Lepisosteus oculatus: one gene and its partners. The protein of the gene in region 3 interacts with the protein of the main gene of each other region in a pairwise test. Links are inferred from orthologs where the notes say so. Each region holds a gene or a part of one and is shown on either strand. Other genes may lie near its edges. The genes, in order: sh2d1aa, git1 and arhgef7b.

Region 1 (7,870 bases), on a different chromosome or scaffold from region 3:
AGTGCATGAATTAAGAAACTGTGACTTCTGTATGAAATGTCCAAACCATTAGATTATGATTTCCTCAGCATGCAGCAAATTCAATTACAAGACTGTTCTATGAGAAAATGTCATATGGTTTGGCTGCCCAAAGTGGAACATTTTATCTCATCGCCTTGTCCTGCTACCTTCTCCTTTGTATTCTATTCTGGCATTCATGTCTCTCACTTTCTGGTGCTATAATTTCTTATGAGTGGGAGTATTTTTCTAACATGTTTTTGAGCTTCTTGATTAAAATACCTACTTAAAATATGTGAGTTTACTAGTAACAGACACAATTCCTGTCTGTACAAGGAATGTCTGTACATTATTTATTTTTTCTCCACATAAACGCACAAAGATTTTTAGATTAAATTATTGGTACTCTGTTTTAAATTAGTTTACTATAGCACCTCAACCTCTACTTGATACCATAAATAAGTCGTTCAAAACTAGTTTAACAAGGAATATTTCCTATATACAGTATAATTAATGAGTCACTGAATAATCTTATTTCTGACATGGGTATAATACTTCAATTTGCAGCTACCTACATTGTATATTAACTGCAAAAACTAGTTTTATGTCACACATTAGTACTTCTATTTGTTTTCATTCAACTGTTTACAAAAACATCCTGAACTCGTTTTATCCCACGGAAAAAAAATGTAACCTGTCATAAAGACTCTTCCTATAGATGTCTGAGGTTGAAGCAGAAACATCTACAACCATTATTTAGCAGTACTAAAATCCATATAGTACTGCTTACACAATTTCACATAATGCAACATACCGTCATCACATTACTTATAGATCTTTTTATTAACAATTTAATTTATGCAATGCACAAATCTTTGGTATGACCAACGACCTGAGAAAAAGCCTGATACTCCATATATTCACTGAACTCAACAGTGAACTCAATTTAGCAAGACACATTTCGATCCAACATTACTTTTTATGTTGATTGCCCATCACACAGCACCTTCTGTTCTCAAGCTTCATTGTTTCTGTGTAAACGCAATATATCAGCAACCCACTAATTTGTTTTTTTAATGTGGGTTCTGCAAAAATGATGTAATGCACACAACAATGGGAATACTATAAAATTAACTGAAATAAAGCGAGACTCCAGATTTAAGTTTTGCAGCAATGAGGTGGGCCTACAGAAACTAAAAGCTTAGTGTCCTACATAAAGAAAAGCAGCAAACAGTGGGTTAAATTTAAGAAATGATGTCAATGACAACTAAACTCTCCTTTTCAATGGCTCTTTTAAGAGCTATTCATTTACTAAACATTACAATACTTATCCAGTGACAAGCCCAGAGACCGAATGGCGGCTCCCACTTGGTTTGAACTAGTAATAGTCCAGGATACATTTTCGCTTCCAAATGTTTGTAAATATACAAATAACTACTCTTCTGTGTGCCATTTGTACTGTGCATTTTCATTACGCAGTATCTAAAACATGCTGAGGGCTTCAAATACGGCAGACAGAAAATCTTTTGGCTACTTTTGGTTTTCCGGCTAACAAAACTGCTAATCCTGTTGGCCGGAATGCATGAGGTGAACAATGTACTGTAAGATCAGGAATATTCACTTTTATCCTTAACTTGTACGTTTACATTTTTGGGGTCATAATAATTAATGTACTATATTGCACAATAATACCAAATCATACAATTTTTGTCAAGATTACAATCAGTAATCAGTTTTTACTTGAGAGTGATGGGGTTATCAATCAGCTCTGTTTCATTATCCTGCAATCTTTCTCTCTCAAATACCCAAATAAAGCTTCACAGCCAAACTTTTTTTTTTGCTTTCTACTTTTTTAGCATTTAGAGTTAGACTGTAGTTGCTGCTCTACAACAATACCAATATATTAAAGTAAAGAAAATGTCCTAGATTATAAAGTGGATTTATAGACCTTGACTTGCCAGCATGGACTTGCGAAATGTGTAAAAGTGTGTTTATAATGATGTAGTGAAGAGTACATTCGATAATGTGCAATTATATGCTGAGATACTTATTAACATCAGGTTAACATTTACAATTATCTTAATTCTGTAATTGTGGTAACACAGGCATTAAATAGCAAACGAAGCAAACGAAGAGAGCAAAGACATATTCCAATAACACTAGATGGTGAATATATTTGTAATTATTTAATAAATCAAATATTTGAAAAATTCACAACCATTATTGAAACTCAAACTCTTTCCAGCACAACATGATCAGATTAGGTGTCAGTTGTATTGCATTCAATTTGGACTACACTTTAACTTTATAATGTAGTTTCACTAGTGAAGATCCAAGCCCATTGAATGAAGACATTGTGCTCAACATGAAAAAAAACGTTAATAAGAGGCAGTCTTATTAGTATGTAACAATAAATTAATCTCTTTAATTTCTTTAAATTAGTGAAGACATACATTACCTTAAATGAGCCAAATCCTAGTTTTTAAAGTGAATAATAACTGTACAGAAGACATACGTCTCTAGCTAAAATGTATACATACAATAAAAATACATGCACTAATTAGCTTTTTACAGTAACTGTTTTGAACATAAGTGAACATCAATAAGCAGTGCTGCTGTTGCCAAAAATATAATTTGTACATCAAATCAACAAAGTTTCAATCATGTTCTGAGAAAGTTTTTTTTAGAGAACCATTTTTCTCCATCACTGCTGAATTTGTGATGACTGAAGTCTGGCACTGATACTGTAATTTGCACTGAAATTGAAAATGTATTTTCCAATGCATCTGTCTCAATACTTACAGCACACAGAGGCAATATACACCAGGCACGCTCTCGCTGTCTCGTATTAAATAACTGCCATCTTTCCCAGCAGCACTCAGAAGTTTTTCACCTGTTTCCCGGCTGATGCCTCCATGATAAACAGACAAAGAATCCATCATGCTGCTAAAACCAAGGTGATGCAAGTTGCAAGTATTGTCAGAGAAGTGTTCAAATAACTGGGGTGTGCAGGAAATGAGATAATAACGAATAGAAAGAAAGAAACACAGGAAATAACATCACAAGTGGTTCAGTCTCTCCATCTCCAACATCAAAATGAAATTAGTTGGTTCTGTTTCTTGTTGTAAATTGGCCAGTCAGCAGGTTTATTCAGCTTCTGTTAAATTATTTATAATAAAAAAGGTTCCTCTTCCAGAGTCAAGAAACTATACTCATAAAACTTGTTGCTAGCACACAAGGGACAGCTTGAATTGTTGTGTTGTGGCCCATAAGCTCCTCATTCTGTAGGTACATATTACATGAGCACCAGATAAAATGTGGGTTTCCATATTATGGTTTTGTGCGGAAGTACATTTTAAACCAAGAAAATGTGGGTCTCCCTTACATGTTGGCTTGTGGGTGTATTGAATGAGCTGCCAGCTACGATGTTATAGTTAATATCCAGGGTTCTTTCAAGAAAAAAGCTGGGCAAGATCCTTGGATCTTTTAGCTGTTTTTTACGTGACCTGAGGTAGCAGAAAATCTACAGATACAAATCTTTTCATTTACTGTATTCATAAATGAAACTGATATGAACTTCAAACACTGAAGCCCTGTAAGAAAGCTCAGGGCTGGAAGACGGCCGAGAGAGAGCAATCCAATACCAGCTATGAGCAAGTTACAAACTAGTCTAAATCACTGAGACTGCTGCCTGTCAGTCATGGGAAGATGCATAGAATTTAGAAGGGGAAAGTCTAACTGGGATAATGTGGTATATGAAACTGTTAAAGTAATGTAACCTCACTGGAACTTTAAAAGCATTCCAAACCCACTGGGTCACATCACTGGTCTTTTGGCTGAACAGATCTGACACTTGTAAGGCACCGAGGTCAGAGAAGCACTGAAGAAGCGGATCGAATCTCATTTCTGACCACAGCTGCCAAACTTCTCTTAGCCTGAATCACTTAATACTTTGCCTATTAATATCCCGTATAACATGGTAGGTGAGTAACTATACACCAATCTAATTTCATCACTTACATTTGTTGCTAAAGTTGCAATTTCACAACCTACTTGTGAATTCTGAACTTCAAACATGAAAAGCCTGGATGTAATATTCACAGGGAATTTCATCCTAATAAAAATAAAGGAATTAAACAGCATTAAACCATACCACACAAGAAAAAATAGTATTTTATTAACAAAATGTCTGTTTATTCTCAGTACAATGCTTCAGACAGCAACACCCTAATGCTGTATAGATAAACATGTCAGAACATGTCTAGAAAACCTGAAACTTTTCGGGTGAGGATACAACTTTCTTAGGATAAAGACGTGCTAATTTAGAGTTGCTGTAGAGAATGGTGTACACTCCCAAAGATGTAATATCAATGTAAATGGACTTACGTAAACTTTTGGAAAGATCTGTACACATGGTTTAAGTGTCTAACACTTCAATGGCTGAAAACAACTTGAACCCATTTTCAAAGCCTTCATTTTTCACGCTTTGTATCTTGTATGTGGGTTAAGTGATAAACGGTCTTGATCCTGAAGAAGCAGCACCTCTTTCATTATTGCTAATCAGACAGCACATTTTCAAATCCAATGTCTAAAATGTTTAAAGCATCAGAGGGACATTGTTTTTTTAATGTACACCTATACTTAATATTAAATATTTATAACCTCTTTAAAATACTTAATGTTCAAGTAGTAAAAAAAAAGAGCTACTTCCACCACTATACACTTAAATGTGTAGCTGACTAAGTTAAGGTCACATGAGTCAAATTAAAAACAATTTTTTACAGTTATCACATTAACTGCATTTTCACCAGGTTTGCATTAAATGTTCCGCTTGAAAGCATTTTTCTGCAAATCAGACCATCTAATGTAAAACTGATAACTATCAGTTACCACAAATGTTTCAGTTCTTTCATGTTATGTGCAAGGATTTTAATTTCCTGAGAATATTCCGGCAAACCACCTGGTTTTCGTTAATTCTACTTTTGTTATGAAACAGGTGAGCAGATAGTATCTGTACTTTTCCAATTTATGCCTCTTTTGAAACAATAGAAGCTTTGTCAATCATGACGCAGCTTAACTGAATGTGGTTGCACGTTCTTTTAATACAGTCTCTCCCATAAGTGCAAAATCAACCTTAAATCAAAGATAACATCTTTAAGGTAACTGCAACGTGAGGTAGCAGTGTGCATCCTTCCATTACACTGCCTGGCCTATGTAGCAGGAGGGATTCTCAGAACCTTGTATGACGATCATACAATATGTCATAATACAGACACGTCGACAATATACTGAGAAAAGCAACAGATAAGAATTTTGCAACTGTGATGTAAAACTATCAAAATTTAAAACAATTAAAAAAACAGACATGAAATGTATCCATTGGCAAAACCTTTACATTGAACAAGTGGAACTATAGCCAACACAGACTACTTCAGAATCTTGAAGATATCAACACCCTCCTCAACCCCCCTTCAGTAGTAGTTCCCTCCAGGTCTCCGTCTAAAAGCACCTAAAACAGCTACAATAAAACCTTCATGCAACAAGGCTTTCAGCTTTACGAATCTAAGCCTTAACGTATTCGTAGACTTAGCAATTGAAAGGTCTATATAAACAACATCACAATGGGATAGAATCCAGCGATGCCAGTAGAAGGAATGAAGAGACTCCCAAAAGCATTGGCAGCAACAGCACAGTCATGCCAAACAGCCATATCTGTTTCTGCCGCTGTGAGAGATCCAAATTAGTTATCTAGCAAGAGTACCAAGTGCAAAGTGAGAATCTCTCGATTTAGAAGAGTAGAAAAAACATGAAGTAGGGTTCTAGAATTTTACCCCTGGGCACACCAAAAGCATGTAAAGAAGTGGTTAAAGAACCGACCAGTGTGTAGAAGGAACTACAGGAACACATTACAGAGGAATACAGGGAACTAGGAACTAGTTTCAATGACACCATCTACAAATGATCTTGACACTTGAAACAACATAAGCAGCGGCCATTCAGCCCAACTCGCATCTCTAGGTAGGATGCAAGATAAATTTGCAATATCCCAACTATTGTCCTAAGAAATGGCCTCTTTGGTGACATTCGATTCTTTATTCCAAGAAGTAATCACTGCTGAAGATTTAGATGAAGCCTGTGATAAAAAGACATAACTGTCCATCCTTTTCTGTGTTCCCTCAACGTTGAAGAGATTATGCACTGCTTGTAAATGTAACTTTGTCTATTGGGCAAGTACTATAGAATGGCGAAGTACAGGAAGAAAAAAATCTATCCTGGAACACGCCAAGACCATCGTTAATATAAATCAGAAAGTGAAATCCTTTCTCACTTCAATGTATAAAAGATTAGAGAGAAACAAGTTTAAATATAGTGAGTATGGGCCTTCCATTTATCAAACTGGTTCACTTTCATGCTACATTTTAAAATGTGTACGCAAAACTCTTAAAGATGACTTCTCAATATTCCAGTCATTCTAATTGTATTTAGTACATTTTTCGATCGAGAATGCCATGCATTAGAAAGAAACCCCAATAACAGGAATGCCCCACTTGCCGTCTTTACTGAAACTGAGAAAAAAAACTCAACTGTAACCCACTTCTAAAAGAAAAGAGGGAGTCCTCAACAATTTAACCATGACAACAGCGGTTAACGATTTTGAAGAACAGACTTAAACAACTAGACTTGTTCATGTTTTGACTTTCACAGTAGCTGCAAAGTGGTCTTTCAATTTGCAATACGCAGTTACTTATCGTTACCTTTGTTCAAAAGTGAGTGCACACTAAATTAAAATATTAAAGATATGAAACGAACAAAATGAAGATTTGTGTAAACAGCAGAAAATTAAAGTGCTTGATAAATTCTCGCCCACCCCACCCCCCTTCATAGCTTAAAACAATCTTTCATTAAACTGCTTGCCTTATGTATAGCAGCTTCTATAAAGCACGGGAGATTCTTAGAACATTACCTTGTGCAATGTTCATACAATCTATCGTACTACAGGTACACAAGAAGAAATCTATTCAGAAAAGCAACAGGAATTTTGCAACTTAAAAGATGTAAAACTATCCCAATTTAAAATAATTAACAAAAAACAGCTATGAAATTGATCACTCAAAAACCTTTACAGCAGTTTTAACAAACAGAACTGTAGCCAATGGACTACTTTGCAAGTTAGAAGTTATGATTCTACCTAATGACACCTAAAATGGTTCAAATACTCCAATAAAAACTTCACGCAACAAGGTTTCAGCTTTTGCATCAGCTTTACGACTCCAAGCCTTATTTTAGTTTTCGACAATGAAAGTGGTCTTTTAACTTGCAACAATGATGTAAAGTGGCTTGTTGTACCTTTATTCAAAAGTGAGTGCTAAGCAACTTAAAATGTTCATGATTTAAAACTGATGATTTTCGTAAACGGAAATTTAAGTGTTCGATAAATCCTCTGCCACTCCACCCCCTTCATAGTTAAAAAAAATCTCTCCCACAGAACTGAATAGACCTGATGCAAGCTTTATTTTTGGATTAATACAGAAAAAAAGGTAAAAGCTAATTATCTCTTCAAATGGACAATGTAGTCAGACAAGAAAGCAATTAACATGTCAAGGTGTTATTTTGTCTGAAGCAAAATCAAATGTCAAAAGGGGCCAATAGTAAGAAAGCAAGCAAATGTTTTTAAATATGGATTTTAGACTTACCAACTGCAGGGAGGAATTTGCTATTGTTGTTGTTCCCTTCTTAAAACACAATTACCACAAATATGCCTTGGTTTAACTTGGAAATTATTTTATGCATGTGGTCAAAACGTGGTGTACAGAAAATGTGAAGACTTTACAAAGAATTAAATATCAATTTTAGAATTACAAGTTTAAATTAT
Region 2 (7,049 bases), on a different chromosome or scaffold from region 3:
CACAGCCCTGCTCTCTGACTGCACCACCACTGCCCCCGGCCTGCTGTCCAGTCCGGCAAAGAAGAAGATCCAGAGGAAGACAGGAAAGTCAGGAAGTCAAGGATAATAATAATAATAATAATAATAATAATAATAATAATAATAATTGCTTACACTTATATAGCGCTTTTCTGGACACTCCACTCAAAGCGCTTTACAGGTAATGGGGATCCCCTCCACCACTAATGTGCAGCATCCACCTGGATGATGCCGACAAGGGGTACCTACAGGACGTGATCTGTGATGTTCCCACTGGGAAACACAATCATCTTCCCCTGCGCCATCACCCTGCGAGCGATCGTGACGAGGAGATACAGCTCGGACCCCAGGACCAGGAGCGGGTCTTCGGCTCTCCCCCACAATCGTCACCCCGACCCCAGGCCACGCGTCAGAAAATACACACACCCCTACCCCCTACCATGCCATCGCCTCGACTTAGCTCATCCGTCTGTGTCTGGCAAAAAGGCTGGGCGACTTCCTGCATCTAAAAACGCTGTCGGCGCTGATCAGGCGCTGAAACTGCTCTATCGCTCCTCTCGCGCATTTGGAAAGCGCTGTGTGTAGTCATCCGTCCTGCGCCCAGTCTATAGCCTGCACCATGCAGAGAATCTCTTATGTAAGTCGTTTCAGAACCAGAGACGAGGGAAGATTCTCAGTGCCTTTCCTGGTCGCGTTACAAAGCCTGTCTGTCATTCCAGCCCGGTGTCTTATCCATTAGGCCCGCAGTCTGTGCATTATCCCCAACGCCGAGATGTCAGGCTTCGGTTGTGTTTTTTGGTGTTATGCTAAGTACTACATTACATTTAGTTAAATAAATGAGGCGCACGTTTCTTCCAGTGAGCTGTACTGCAATATATATAATGAGACTTCACTCCGTGCACAGAAGCAGGCACACTCTCACTACCCAGATGAAATGACTAAATCCACCTGCCACAGCCCCAGCCTGCCACACGGCTCGTGCCGCGAGGTGCCGGCTCGCCCGTCCACGCGCTGCCCCTCGCCCACCTGCCGGGCTGCACCGCACTGCCTCGCGCGGCTCGCGAGCTGCCGCGGCCCCCGCTTCACCACGCGCGCTCAACCCGCTGAAACCCGCAGGACCGTCGCCAACTTCTCTCGGACCCGCGCCGCGGAGAAGGCAGGCAGCGGACGGGCGATGGCAGCCCGTTGTGTTTTTCGGGGTTGCGAGCGCGGAGGCTCCCGATGCAATTCGAAGCCGTTACCGGTCTGCCGGTCCCCCGCCTCCGAGCCCCGAGCCCCGCTCGGACAGCCTTGGCGACGCTCAGTTGCATTTCTGCACCGGCGGCATCGCGGCTGCGTGCGGCGATAGTGACAGGAGACCCCAGCCGGCAAGCGACATCGTGTCTGCTGCCGTGCCGCCCCTCTCGACGAAACGCCAGACGATGCCGCTCTATCAGACCAGACTCCCTCGATCCCGAAATCGTTCGCCACCGCTTTTCGCGCTGTCTTCCCCACAGCCTGGGCGGCCCCCCGGCTACACCGCCCCAGCCCCGCGGACTGGGGCGCCGAGCTGCGCCTTACCTGCTCCTCCGCGGTCAGCTCCTTCTCCAGCTGGCGATGCCTGTTGTACCACACCAAGGTGTGCAGGGGGTATTTACTTTTCTCCGGAGTTCTCCTTGTGGAAATCATCCTCTGTGCATAGTTCGCTATTCTCTCTCCTCTCTTTTTTCCCCGGTTATTATATTCTCAGGATCGCCGGAGCCGGAATAGCGGCTGGTTACAGGAGCATGATACAGATATAGCGGAATAGATAGAGGGAGCAATTAACGGCCGGGAAATACAAGGCTTTCGAATAGAGATTACAAATAAAAAATAAATACATTCATATGTGACCGACTCGCCTTTCTTGGATTTTCCGATGATTCCACCTTCCTCGCCCCCTCCCTGTCTGTACCCTCTCTCTCTCCCTCCCTCCCTCTCTCTCTCCGTCTCTCGCTCGCTCTGCGAGGATGAGCGGGCGAGGGGAGGATTTTCCGCGTATTGACTCGAGCTGTAAGCAGCTCATCCGGTCTGGCTGGCCGCTGGAGTGACAGGCTGGAGCTGAACATGTTACCCGGCGAAGCACTGCTGCCCCCCGGCTCACAGACACGCGCGGCTGTGGCGGCGTCGTGCGTGTGAATGTGTGAGAGTGAGAGTGTGTGAGTGTGAGTGAGTGTGCAGGGCTCGCCGCCCGCCAGCCCGTGTGTGTGTGAGTGTGAGTGAGTGTGCAGGGCTCACCGCCCGCAGGCTCGCGTGTGTGTGTGAGTGTGTGAGTGTGAGTGAGTGTGCAGGGCTCACCGCCCGCCAGCCCGTGTGTGTGTGTGTGTGAATGAGTGTGAGTGCGTGTGAGTGTGAGTGAGTGTGCAGGGCTCACCGCCCGCCAGCCCGTGTGTGTGTGTGAGTGAGTGAGTGTGTGTGTGTGTGTTTTGTTTCGGGCTGACCGAGCAGACCTGGGCGAGTCGGTCGTGAGGACCGTGTCCAAATGTTGACGCGTCAAATTGAACACGCGGCTCGAGACGCCGGGCTTGCAACATGGTGTGGACGTGGACTCCGCCGTCGCAGCAGCCTGCGTGTATATAGCGCCTTTCTGGGCTGAGGACGCTAGGGCGGTGCCGCCAGTCACAATCACACGCGCGGATCCGATCAGAAGGACATTCCGTTTCCATTCTTCGCTTTCTAGAACAAAACGACGCAGGTGAGACTAGTCAAGGGAGCATAGTTATAAACACAAGAATCAGTTGTCTCTGCAGTTTAATTTCTCTTTTCATAAGTAGCTGCTTTGTTAATGTGGTCGCCGGTGGGGCAGGACGACCCCCCGGGTACCCCCATGAGGGGCTCTAGGCCAGAGGGGCCAGAGGGGGCGCTGTCTCTCCACGCCGCTCCTGGGGGATCTAATCCGTCTGGCGGCCAGTCTGCTTGAAGGACAGGCCAGGGCCAGGCCAGGACACTCAGTAATTCCTCATGGATCGACTTCAAAGCCCCTCGAGACGAGCTCACAGGCGAAATCTTTGTTCCAGCGCGCTGTTTACGCTTTTGCCCGGTCCAAATGTCTGGTCTCCCCGGACCAAAGTAAAATGCTAACCAAGCTTGTGGTTTATCACAGTGCTATGGGATATCTAACGTCTTAAAGACGTCCTTTTAAGTGTTTGAAAAACCGCTTTCCGGCCCAGAGGGTAATATCTTTGATCTTCTACTGCAACATTAAGTGCATGTTACCGCACTTATTTTGAGTGTCTCGGAATCTAAGGGCTTCTGAGTCTCACTTGAGGTCCAATGTCGTGGATCATCTGGACAAAACCCGTGAAGAAAACAGAAAACACTTGAGGACAAACCAGCTTTCAGGGGTATTCCTGACAAACCTCGGAGAAGCCTTTTCGACCGAGGGAAAGTGCGCACGACTTTGAAGGAATTCTTCGATATCATCTCTTTAACACCGGAGCACACAAGTCCAAATTAAGTGGAAGCGCGTTTGAAACTGAAAAGAGGAGACATTTTTATAGGCTTGGGGGATTCTGATGGAAGCTATATGCTGCTGATATCCAGGCTTTTTCCAAGAAGTAGCTGGATGAGACCTTTGGATCAATTAGCTACTGAAAACCAATTATCTAGATGGTCTTCTCGTTTGTAACCGTTCTTAATGTATTTGGTGTTTATAAACGGCTGAATTACCACCGCCTCTTGATACTCCCGAAGGTCTTGGACACCGCTGTGTTTCCAGCGCTTCACGATTAAATACAGCGACTTTTTCGACTCTACGTCAAGACGCAGGGAAACATGCAGGTTCCTCCCAGACGGGGCTACATTTGAAACTACAGTAGCTGCCTACGTAGTTAATCGCAGGTGTCTGTTTTTAATGGGAGTTGCTTGACGGTTTATTGGTGACTCGGCGGTTAGCGCTAGTGCCTCGCAGCTCTTGATCCTGGGTTCAACTCCGCATGTTCACGCACATTGCGGTGGGTTTCCTCCCACCGTCCAAAGGCGAGCTCCTGGGCTGTTAGGTGGGACTGGTCAGGCGTGCTGTAATACGACCTCAACGCCGGCAGTACCGCAAAGAGCAACAGGTGCAAGAAAATATCATTGGATTGTCGTTGATTCTTATGGTGAAAGCAAAACTGAAAGCACGGGTCTATTTTTTTAATTTCTTAAAGTCGAATTATTCATGCATAGGTGAGGGGAGAGAGGGGTGTTCGGAATAAGACAAAGCCGTGTCCGCAATGCTAGCGAGGGAAAACGATCATTGACGCGCTAAATTCGGCTCAGACTGACTGACGGACGGACGGACAGGCAGGCGAAGGCGCAGACAGAGGGACAGGGGCTGCCGTGTGCGGACCCCACCGTGCAGTTAGGAGCCCCCGGGGAGCGGGGAGGCTGTGGACGATATTTGCAGTGATCTCATTGTACTTTGTGGTCTGATGAGCAGCCCCTGGCTGCGATAACGAGCGAACTGAGAGCGACGGTGCCGGAGGAGGAGGGGAGAGCGGCAAGCAGGGGGAAGCCAGGAAAACCGGGGAAAGTGCTGCGCTTTTTCCACGCACGAACACTGCCCTCGCCTCCCTTTCAATGAAATCAATCATCCCAGTTTCCCCTGTAACCCACTTGCTCAGTACGCCGACGCCATATAGGAAAACCGGGGATATTTCTGTGCACTGGGGAGCGAGAAACGCACACACGCAGGCAGAGGCCGGGGAACCTGTTCCGTGCTGTGAGGCTTCCGGGCGATTCGGGAGCAGGGAAGCGGCAGTCCAGCCTTTTTCAGCCCGGGGAACGGAAAGGCGACTAAAATAACAACATTTCAACACCATTGGACACAATGTCCAGGAAAGTGCAAAGAAGCGAGGTCTGCGCCGACTGCAGCGCGCCGGGTAAGATTTTGTTTTTTAAAAGGCGTTGTTAGCAGCTGGTGTTTGGCAACTCGGGGAGGGAAGAGGCACTGGGATGGGAGAGGGTGACCGGAGATGGCGGTCGCATCCCGGGATCGGGGAAATAGGAAAGCGGCCCGGCGCGCTCTGTGGCCTAGATGCCCTTCCACTTGCAGTGACCATTTCTCCCAGTAAAGATTCTGCTGTGGTCGAAAATATACCTATTAACACGAAATCATACGCCACTCGTAGTGTTTAATTGTAGTATTATGTTTATTTTTTTCCAACTGACAAGGCGTTATCCCATTACATTGCGTGTGGTATCTACTGGTATATTTTTAATATTGTACACGTTTATACGAAGCGAGCTGTTCAGGGGAAAGTACGTTAAAAATCTGGGTTTTCAAATAAAACGTCTCCTTTTGTTTTGGGTAACTAGCTAGATTCTCCAGTCTAGCTGGGTAGTTGTTACCTCAATGGGTGTGCGTTACTGGGACATTAAATACCGTGATTACTGAAAGGCGAAATTGTATTATTTCTCATTAACTGCAGTTTTTTTTATTCAATCAGAAGAATAAATGGCAGTTTTAATTGGAATCCGATGTGAAAACAGTTTTGTCGATAAAGACAATTTCCACTGTGTATACCCTAGAGGCCATTACATTATTCCGAAGTCGACTGGTTTTGTAGTAGTAAGCCAGCCGCCTCCGAACATGTCGTTGCCTGCAACGCAATTTACCAGTTTTTGTTGTTTTTAAACCCTCGGAGTTTGAGTGAACCGAGTTCGGCGGATGCCTTTGCAGGCTCCAGAGCCCGGCGACGCCAGACCAGGCGCTGCTGCGCTCGGTAGGTTTTGGGGTCACAGTGTGGGCAGGTTCTTGCCGAGCCCCAGCGCCATACGTGCCGTCACCCTGAGTGACTAAGCAGTTTGTTCTTGTTTTTCGGGGGTCACACCTAGCGCAGGAGTTTGAATCTTTGAAGTGCAGCCATACATTATAAAGTAGTCGAGAAGCTGAGATTTGACAAGACACGGCTGGACGTCTGCCGCCTCCGGTTTCCGGTTTGCACAAGACGGGAGTCTAAATCCTGATTCCTGGAAAGGAAGAGGTTGCGGAGATGTGTTCGTTCTCTGTAAACGCTGTGCAAGGCCCTTCCAGGTTTTGCAGTACGAGCTGTACACGAGTATCAGGTGCAGCAACACTTCACACTTTGAGCCATATTTGGAGTAAATGCTAAAGAAAGAACTGCTGAATCTAAATACTGGGGCACAGTATGCACATTGTTTGCCTGGAGCTGGTCACTCTTGGCACTGGGACCCCAATACACACAAGCACCCCCCAGCCTGGAGCTGGTCACTCTCTGTACTGGGACCCCAATATACACAAGCACCCCCCAGCCTGGGGCTGGTCACTCTTGGCACTGGGACCCCAATACACACAAGCACCCCCCAGCCTGGAGCTGGTCACTCTCTGTACTGGGACCCCAATACACACAAGCACCCCCCATCCTGGAGCTGGTCACTCTTGGCCCTGGGACCCCAATACACACAAGCACCCCCCTGGCCTGGAGCTGGTCACTCTTGGCTCTGGGACCACAGTAGCAGCTGGCTGCGCAGCCCGGTCTGTCTCCCGGCAGCCGACTAGTCTGTCAGAGGGTCTGGAAAGTCGATTTGTTTTTGCGACGACCAGACAAATGTTGAGCTTTTTGAGAGGTGACAGGTTTTCCGGAGAGCATGAACACTCGCACATGCTGTATTCTGTAAGGGTTGGGGGGGGCTTTCAAAGCGCTTTGTTCCACAGTAGATTTTGTTCGGCTTTTTCAAACTCGACTTCCAGATAAAAGAGGCAGAGAGGGAGACAGAGATCCAGTGATATGTGATGGAAAATTGTGATATTCTGCGTAGCAGCTCATCTCCCCTAAGAACTGAGTGAACGCGAGGGGGAATTAAATTAGGATAGATGTGCTGAATTGGGCTAGAGTCGGCAGAGCTGCAGGTGGGGCTGGTCATTGTGTCCTGGCACTGGAGGTCGTGGTGCACGCAGGTGAGAGTGTGGCAAAGTGCACAAGAACATACTTTTGTGCACTTGTGTGCACGTTGCTCACCAGCGGACCTGTGAGAGGGCTCCTGCCGGGCGAGCCCAGCCGCTGGAGTCG
Region 3 (7,666 bases):
TTGTATACATGTAGATCAAGTTTCGAGCTTGCCTTTGTCTGAAATCCATCCATCTACTTTGTTGTTGTTGGTTTTTCTAAATTCCATTAAATGCTTCCTTAATCTGAAACATTATACATATAAAAGTAATAGAATTGTGAGAAATGAACGGAGTTTTGGGGAAAAAATACTTGCAGTGTCCCCCCAAAACACAAGGACAGCATAGTCAAGGCTATTGCTTTTGCTTTACAGTCAAGCAATTTGTATTTAAGAACAGGAAATTAATATGAGAGATGCATACAATGTAATACACTATACATTTTATTTTTAGATCATGTCATACGCACACGTGGTCATATTAGTGCGAAAAACATACTTTTTGTTGAACCCGGTGATTTCAAAGGACCAAAGGTATTGGGACACTTTCACTTTAAGTACATTTCAGAGTGTAAAAGTCAGTACATATTATCACCATTTCCCCTTGAGGCAATGACCACATTAGGCCTGCAACCCACTGAGATCACCCAGGTATCTGCGTGATCATCTGAGGGGCTTCATTAAGCCTTTGCTTCAGTAACTCAGGTTTCTTGATTTTTCCTGAGGTGTTGGGACTTTTTTTGTTCTGAACTTTTTCGTCATCATGCAAAATGCTGGTCAGCTGGAAACATGGCTTGACCATATTGGTTTGGTCAGTCTAGGACTTTTCTTTTTCTCCCAATGATAAAAGTTGTTGCATGGGCTGTATGTTTTAGGTTGTGGTCACGCTGCATGGTAAAGTGCTGCCCAACAACTACGTAAGTATCCTCTTCTGCATCCATCGCGGAGGAGCCAGGGCCTATCCCAGCAAGCAGTGGGCACAGGGCATGACCTTCCTCTACATATTCAGCGGAAATATTTCAGAATTCATTCTGCCGCTGCCATCAGTGCCTTCAAAGACCAATGAGCCAGATGTGAAGCCAGAATGTTTCACCATGTTTCCAAATTTGCTCAGAAGTACAAAACTCAGGCAGAAGATTTGGGGAACATAACTTCCAGAAAAAATCAGACCGAACCAAAACTTCACCTAAGTTTAAGTGTGGCGAAAAAATAGAAACTGCAGATGCTCCGGAAGTCATCATCTCATCTGTGAAGCCACATCAATCCCACAATCACAAATACAAATAGCCTGATTCTAAACCAAAAATAATAGTTATCACCTTGCTGTCACAATTGGGGGGCATCTGCTGTTACAGATGGATGCTGGACTGCATTGAGTTTCTCTGCTTTATATTGTTGTCGTCTTTGTGGATCTCCTACTTCTAATACACAAGGATTCTTCAATAATAAAAGTTAATATCTGGATACATGGATGATGATGTACTTTTGTGATATTAAAATTGATTTGATTTATATGTTTAAAGGATTTTAATTGTTCAAAAAAGACAGGCATTATTTACCGTAGGCTAGTTTTAACCTGAGGTATGCCCTCAAAATGACCAAAGCAAGAAGCCTGTACTAATGGCATTAATTATTGTAAATTTTCATTCCGCATTTGTGTGCTGTACACTAGGATCTTACGTCCTCTTGTTTTTAGCAGCAAATGCAAATTTAAATCTCACCTTTTTTCATGATGTAGGCTTTAGCCTTTTTTTCAAACAATTTTGTTTCATTGTTCATTAGGTTTGTTTAATGCAATGTTCATGCAATAAAATTAGTCATTTCACCTGTCGTGATTGAAGATAAAATCACCAAACTGCATTCCAGAGATTATTCAGGTACATTTCTCGTTAAGACCCAGTACATGATATTGAGGAAATTAAAGAAAGACCAATACTGAAAGAACACGACGGGAGTTCCATTTAGCTCCAAGAAGGAACCTAATAATCTGTTGGAAACGATAGCCTACATCAAAGCAATTTGTTTGTAGACTGTAGTACAGGCTACTGTAAAAACGTAACAGTAAGCTCAATTGTTCAGCACTATAAACAAGTCTGACACATGCGGTCTGACCTTCTGGTAGACAGCCGTACCCTCAAAAATGGAACTGTTCCTTTAACATTTCCGAGGGTCGTCACATACTGTGTGCGCTTTTCCAGTCAATGGCGGCCTGCTCATGTGGGATCGTATCCCCTCCACACGTAAAAAAAAATCAATAGTCGATTTTGATTTGGCGCAATTCTGTCCTCTGTCAGCGCATCACCTCCAAGTAAATAAAGCAACATAAAAAGGGGATTCCATTCTTTTAAAATCGTGTTTAAAACACATTCCCTATGTTCTTGTCTAGTGCAATTTCATAAATAAAAAAAATGTTGAAAGGGTATATTTCCCAGTGTTAGAACCAGCATCGGTTCTTAAGAGGGTTACCTCACATTCAATGATTTATGGATATTGTAGATATAGTTTGTACCTATGATATATAATAGCACCTATTGTTAGCGTCTAATACGGTAATCCCTCTCGCGTTGCGTTATTGACATCTGTGCTATATCAGTTAGCCTGCAGTAGGAGCACAATAACTACCAGACACATGACCTAAAAAGAAACATTGACCGAGACGGGGCATTAAAGGGGGATATTTTGTATTCTCCGGACGCCATCGATAGGGTTTACGCGACAAAAACACAGCGCACTGTAGCTGGGAGCGGGTAAGAATGGTAAATGTCCTTACTTTATCGATAGAACCAGGGCGCAATCGGTCCAGCAGTCTGCACAGGACCACACCATCTTTCAGAGACGATTGCAAAAATCCTTCTGGATCCGAGATGGTCTTTTTCGGCGATTCCAGGACCCCCAGAGTAATAAGCCATGTAACGGTTTGCTCTGCTGAATTCATGGCAGCATTCACGATGCAAATCCAATTGGGAGGAGGTGGGGGTGGGGGGGGGGGGGGGAGACGGGGGGCAAATTAGTTATGTGGGTAGATGTATCAATATATATTCCAATTAAAACATTTCCTCTCTACATTGGTGTGAGGTCCGGGGCAGAGACTACGGCTGATCCCTCCTTCTCCATGTAGATGCAGATGATGACGATTTGCTTTTGAAAATCCAGCAGGTCGGTTTTTGCTTTCCTCTGGGGTTGTTTTGGCCAGCTGTCAAATGCCTTTCTCTATTATACACACAACCTGCATTGCCTCCCACAAGTGATCTTCCGGCAGATGACATCATGGACACGGAAAAGCGACATGGCCACTTACAATGGTAATCAGAGAGGTATATTTGCATGGCACAGGAATACTTTTGCATGGTTTTACATGTGTGGCCTTTGAAATAGGATGGCAGCATCTGGATATGCAAAACCTCTAGCATTTTGCTTTTGTGAAAGGAAAGGCACTGTTTTGTGTGGGGGTAAACCTGAACTGGGAATAGTTCTCACCCCTGTGTTGCCTGTAGTGTATTTTATTGATTTAGTATTTGTGTTATAATTTGACAATCTCGAACCTCGAAAAACACATCACTGATATTTACAAAAAATGATAGTGGGCGTTCAAAATATTTTTCTAATTAAAGGGTAATTCAAATTATTTACGCATCTCCCAAAAAAGCTTCAGATATAGCACCTTAATGCTTTTGGATACGAAAGTCCGCCGCCTTGTGGAGACTCCTAGTATGCTTTTTCGCTTAAAACGACCTGTTTTGTCCTATTTTGTTCCACGGTTTGACTTCAATGCTTTCCTAACAGAACTTGTGAATGAGCCAGACTACATGCTTTATAAACTGTCGGTTAAATACATACATTTCTCATAATCGATTTAATACATTAAAGTGAGATTTATGTGAAAATGTTTTCCTATACTCACTCAGGAGGCGGGTATGTACAAATGAATCGTCAATAAATGTTTTATTCACACAATGGCAGTTTAAGCTGTTTTATGTATTGTGAATATTTTTGTGCATTCTATGTTGTTGTTTCGCTTTTGCAGAATGCTAGATAATATTTTTTAAATAAAAGTTTGAATAAGTAACAATGAAAATGCAGTTACATTTATGTAAGGACCAACACTGGAACATACCAGCACCTTATTAGCTAGATGTGATTTTTCTTTTCGAAATTCGTTGATTTCGATTTAATTATACTGCAAAAGCAATGCTTACAAAGCGATAAAGAACTCTTATACAACAAATGGTAATCATCGTTTATTTGTTACGATCAATAAATTGACAAACACAAACTATAAGCAAAGGATACTTTAAGATATTAGACACTTGAAAATATGAATTATTTAATATTATACTAATATTCTTAATCTATAAAATGTTAGAGTTTTCGACAAAACTATACGCCGTGTAATTATTTCTGTTTCCACACGAGGGAGACCTTGCAGCGAAAATCGTTTTACAAAATTATTTTCCGTTAAGGGATTGTTTTTTTATTCTAGATCTATTTGGCTTTAATTTGGGAATTCATAGTGTTGTGTAACAACATGTATCATATCTGTTTTATATATAAGAATGATTAAAATATCATTTGTGTCTTTCTAAAATATTTTAACATCTACTATTCCTTCCTATTGCTACTACAAATATTACTACTACCGCTGAGAATAACAAACACAACAACGTTTCTGGTGATGATGACAAATTTCATGTTGGGATCTTAAATTAAAAACATGGAACAACGGGGTTAAACTTGTAATTTTCAAATGGGTCTTTTTGGATAAGCCTACCGCTAACAAAATTCCTTTCTTCATAACATAATGATTAGTTCACCTTGCAGTTTTTCTTATCCTTACGGACAGAGACATGCGATCTGTTGGTGAAATAATCACAAGACAGAAAAAAGACACATCACCATGAAGCCCAGAAGACAATTACATGTCAGGACATGACACTTGTGCTTTAGAAAAGAGGCTGAGAGGTTTAAGAACTGTAGAGACTATAAGACTACATCCTAAAGAAAGGTAGTGAAATTCAGCTTTTCTTTAATCTAAAATAAAAGCACAGCCAATTAAATCTGGTGCTTCTATCACACACCACCCTACAGGCATAAACGACTAGTTATTGTCATTACAATAAAATAGGGTAAATAGGCCCTAGTGTGGTTTTTCGTGTTTGTGTCACTGTGTGCCCTGTAACGGATATGTGTCCTGTCCAGGGCATATCCTGTGTTGTACCTGTTGGTTGCCAAGGTAGGCTCTGACACCCGAATTAAATGAAGAGAAGAATATGGATCAAATCCAAAACTTTATTTAAAACGATATTCTTGGAAGGAAGTAGATTAATGGAAGGTTACAGTGACTTAATAATATTTACCTCAACTGTATAAACTTTATGTGTATTTGCATTTCAGCACCTTGTATGATGAAGTCTGTGACATTTTAGCACAGCTGCTGCCAGCTTCCTGGCAATCAGGAAAATACTTGTGTATCACCTTCTTATCTGATGATAATTCAATTCAATTCAAAATACTTTATTCATCCCCGGGAGGGCAATTTAAGAAAACAACTTAATAGTAATCACATTTATTCTAAAGGATCTCCAAGCATGTTACATGTTGCAAGGAACTCATTTCATCCTGCAGTGACACTGACAAGGCTATGAATTTAACATTAAAATGATGAATTCTAAAAGCATACATTTAAAAAAACAAAAATCACCTGAGTTTGTTTCATATGATTTTCATCTCTCCCACCACTTACCTCCCATTTCAGACTTGTTTTTGTCTCCTTCCTTGTCTTATTGTTATAATCATATTATTGGCAATAAATACACAAACTAAACTTTTTTAATTAAAATCATTAGTCATAACACAGTCGGCTATGATTGAAGAAATGTTTGTGACAACCATAAGTCAGTAATCAGCTTCTTGTACTGCTTTTAAAATGATGTATTTTTTTTTATTTGGCTTGTTTTTCTTTCTCAGCTTTCATCCGAAATTCTTTCTAAACTGTGCTTATTTACTTCAGTCATTTTTCATTGTGGATTCATTATTTTTATTCTGCGTCCCATGGGGAACTCTTCCAGCAATCAGCACACCTGAAATATTTATGTGGTTTTGAAGTTATCGGCACTATATGCTTAAACCCTTCACTGTACATATGCTAACACAAACAGTAACACAGCAATATTACTGAGCAATACACTGCAAGAACAAAACATTGCCTGATTTCCTTTAAGGGAAATTTGTCAAGGAAAAACATGTGTTGATGATAAATGGATAACACAATGCTAACACCCATCTGCAACCTGGCATGAGTGCTTTGTTTTAAAGCCAAATTTACACAAACATCTTCTCTCTGGGTTCTGTTTCATTGTGCTGGAACAACAGTCATGTTTCAAATACATGCGGGCTGAGTCCAGGGTGCTTCATAGTAAAATTGAATGTACTGCATTACATATGTGTGGAAAAACTCACACTTGCCATACTTTGTATGTGATAAAATGTGTTTTACCATCGGAAAAATGTGAAGACAAGTTGTTTTTCACCATTCTCCTGCCTGCCAATCAGACATCAGCAGCTTTTCTAAACCAGCATCCCAGACTTAATCATAGAAGGTTCTGAAATTGTTAGCTGTAACTTTGGTTTTGAACGTGAAACTTCAAAATAAATTTGATTATTCCAAATGTGTTCTTACATCGCATTGTTTGGGAATGTGTGTAATTTACTGTCCAATGCAGGATGTGTGAAACTGATTTATGTAGTGTTAAACACTGTTTATTAAAACAATTTCTGTTTTTCCTCTATTTTCATCTGAGTGTCACTAGGTAATGGGGTACAGCCTTGGTGTTTTATTATATTCTGTATACATTAGAAATTAAGAAACTTTTTTTGTTTGCTTTCTGAAGAATTGGATGGTGGCGACTTTGAACACAAAGACCAAACAATTCTTCGTGTCAACATCAGGGGTAGCTGTGGAGTCCATCGGTCAAATTTAAAACTGGGAGTTTTAAAACTGAAATAAAAAAATCAGTTTTCTGCAATCTTTTCATTTTCTTTTTTTTTTACTGTACTCTAAAAATAAGCTTGAACACTATTTTTGAAAATGTGTTTGTTTTGTAATGATTCACAATTAGCTGAATTGATTACCTTAACATTAAGCAAAGCTTTAACGTTACAAAGGAGGGACTGACATAATTTAGAAACACACCAAAGTTTGTGAATATATTCTTTCTGGATATATCTTCAACACTGCCGGTAATGAGAGAAGCAAAACAAAGCACGTTTTCTGGAGAGACTTCTTTCAATCATATTTTAAATAAGCCCTTATATCATTCTTTCTGTCCTACAAATACTTTGCAATGGCTTAGCTTTTCCTGGGATAACCCATGCACTATGGAAAAACAGTTTAATTAATTGCATTTTTGCATAGTTAAAACGTTAGAAATCATACAAACTGAAGGAGGCAACGTGGCCCGTCAAGATAATTTGGCTGCTTTAACTAGCAGTCAAGGTATGAGCTAAGAAAACGTTTAATACTTAAAATATTTGCGATAGTACCAAAATTTTTCATATTATTTTTTAGAATATTTTCATTTTTAACAGATAAATTCTGTTATAGAGAAGAGTGGGATTTGGGGGGGGGATGTGTACATTTGTGATGAGCTAAGAACTGCTGTCGGTAATTGTTTTATACAGGAAAAGTTAAGTTGCTAAATTTATGTTTGTTCTAAAAATGCTTAATGATATTAAGATCATTAGCATTTTTTCCGTCCTGTTAATCTTGCAGGAAGTAATGCGTTCATACCACAATTTCTCAGTGGACAAGCTG

The links.
Region 1: the proteins of arhgef7b (region 3) and sh2d1aa interact in binary tests that used the Homo sapiens proteins (3 or more experiments, as listed by UniProt). The link is inferred for Lepisosteus oculatus from reciprocal best matches to the Homo sapiens genes ARHGEF7 and SH2D1A.
Region 2: the proteins of arhgef7b (region 3) and git1 interact in binary tests that used the Homo sapiens proteins (3 or more experiments, as listed by UniProt). The link is inferred for Lepisosteus oculatus from reciprocal best matches to the Homo sapiens genes ARHGEF7 and GIT1.

The regions. Positions count from the first base shown.
Region 1 is NC_090703.1:41,769,038-41,776,907, reverse strand, and holds the start of sh2d1aa (SH2 domain containing 1A duplicate a), read right to left. Parts: upstream 3,106-7,870; 5' UTR 2,940-3,105; coding exon 2,800-2,939; intron 1-2,799.
Region 2 is NC_090721.1:10,575,607-10,582,655, reverse strand, and holds the start of git1 (ARF GTPase-activating protein GIT1), read left to right. Parts: upstream 1-3,984; 5' UTR 3,985-4,846; coding exon 4,847-4,898; intron 4,899-7,049. Other genes in the region: ankrd13b (ankyrin repeat domain-containing protein 13B), read right to left, coding at 1,579-1,686. UniProt on the Homo sapiens protein: GTPase-activating protein for ADP ribosylation factor family members, including ARF1.
Region 3 is NC_090710.1:25,691,426-25,699,091, reverse strand, and holds the start of arhgef7b (rho guanine nucleotide exchange factor 7b), read right to left. Parts: upstream 3,062-7,666; 5' UTR 2,792-3,061; coding exon 2,627-2,791; intron 1-2,626. UniProt on the Homo sapiens protein: Acts as a RAC1 guanine nucleotide exchange factor (GEF) and can induce membrane ruffling. Functions in cell migration, attachment and cell spreading. Promotes targeting of RAC1 to focal adhesions. May function as a positive regulator of apoptosis.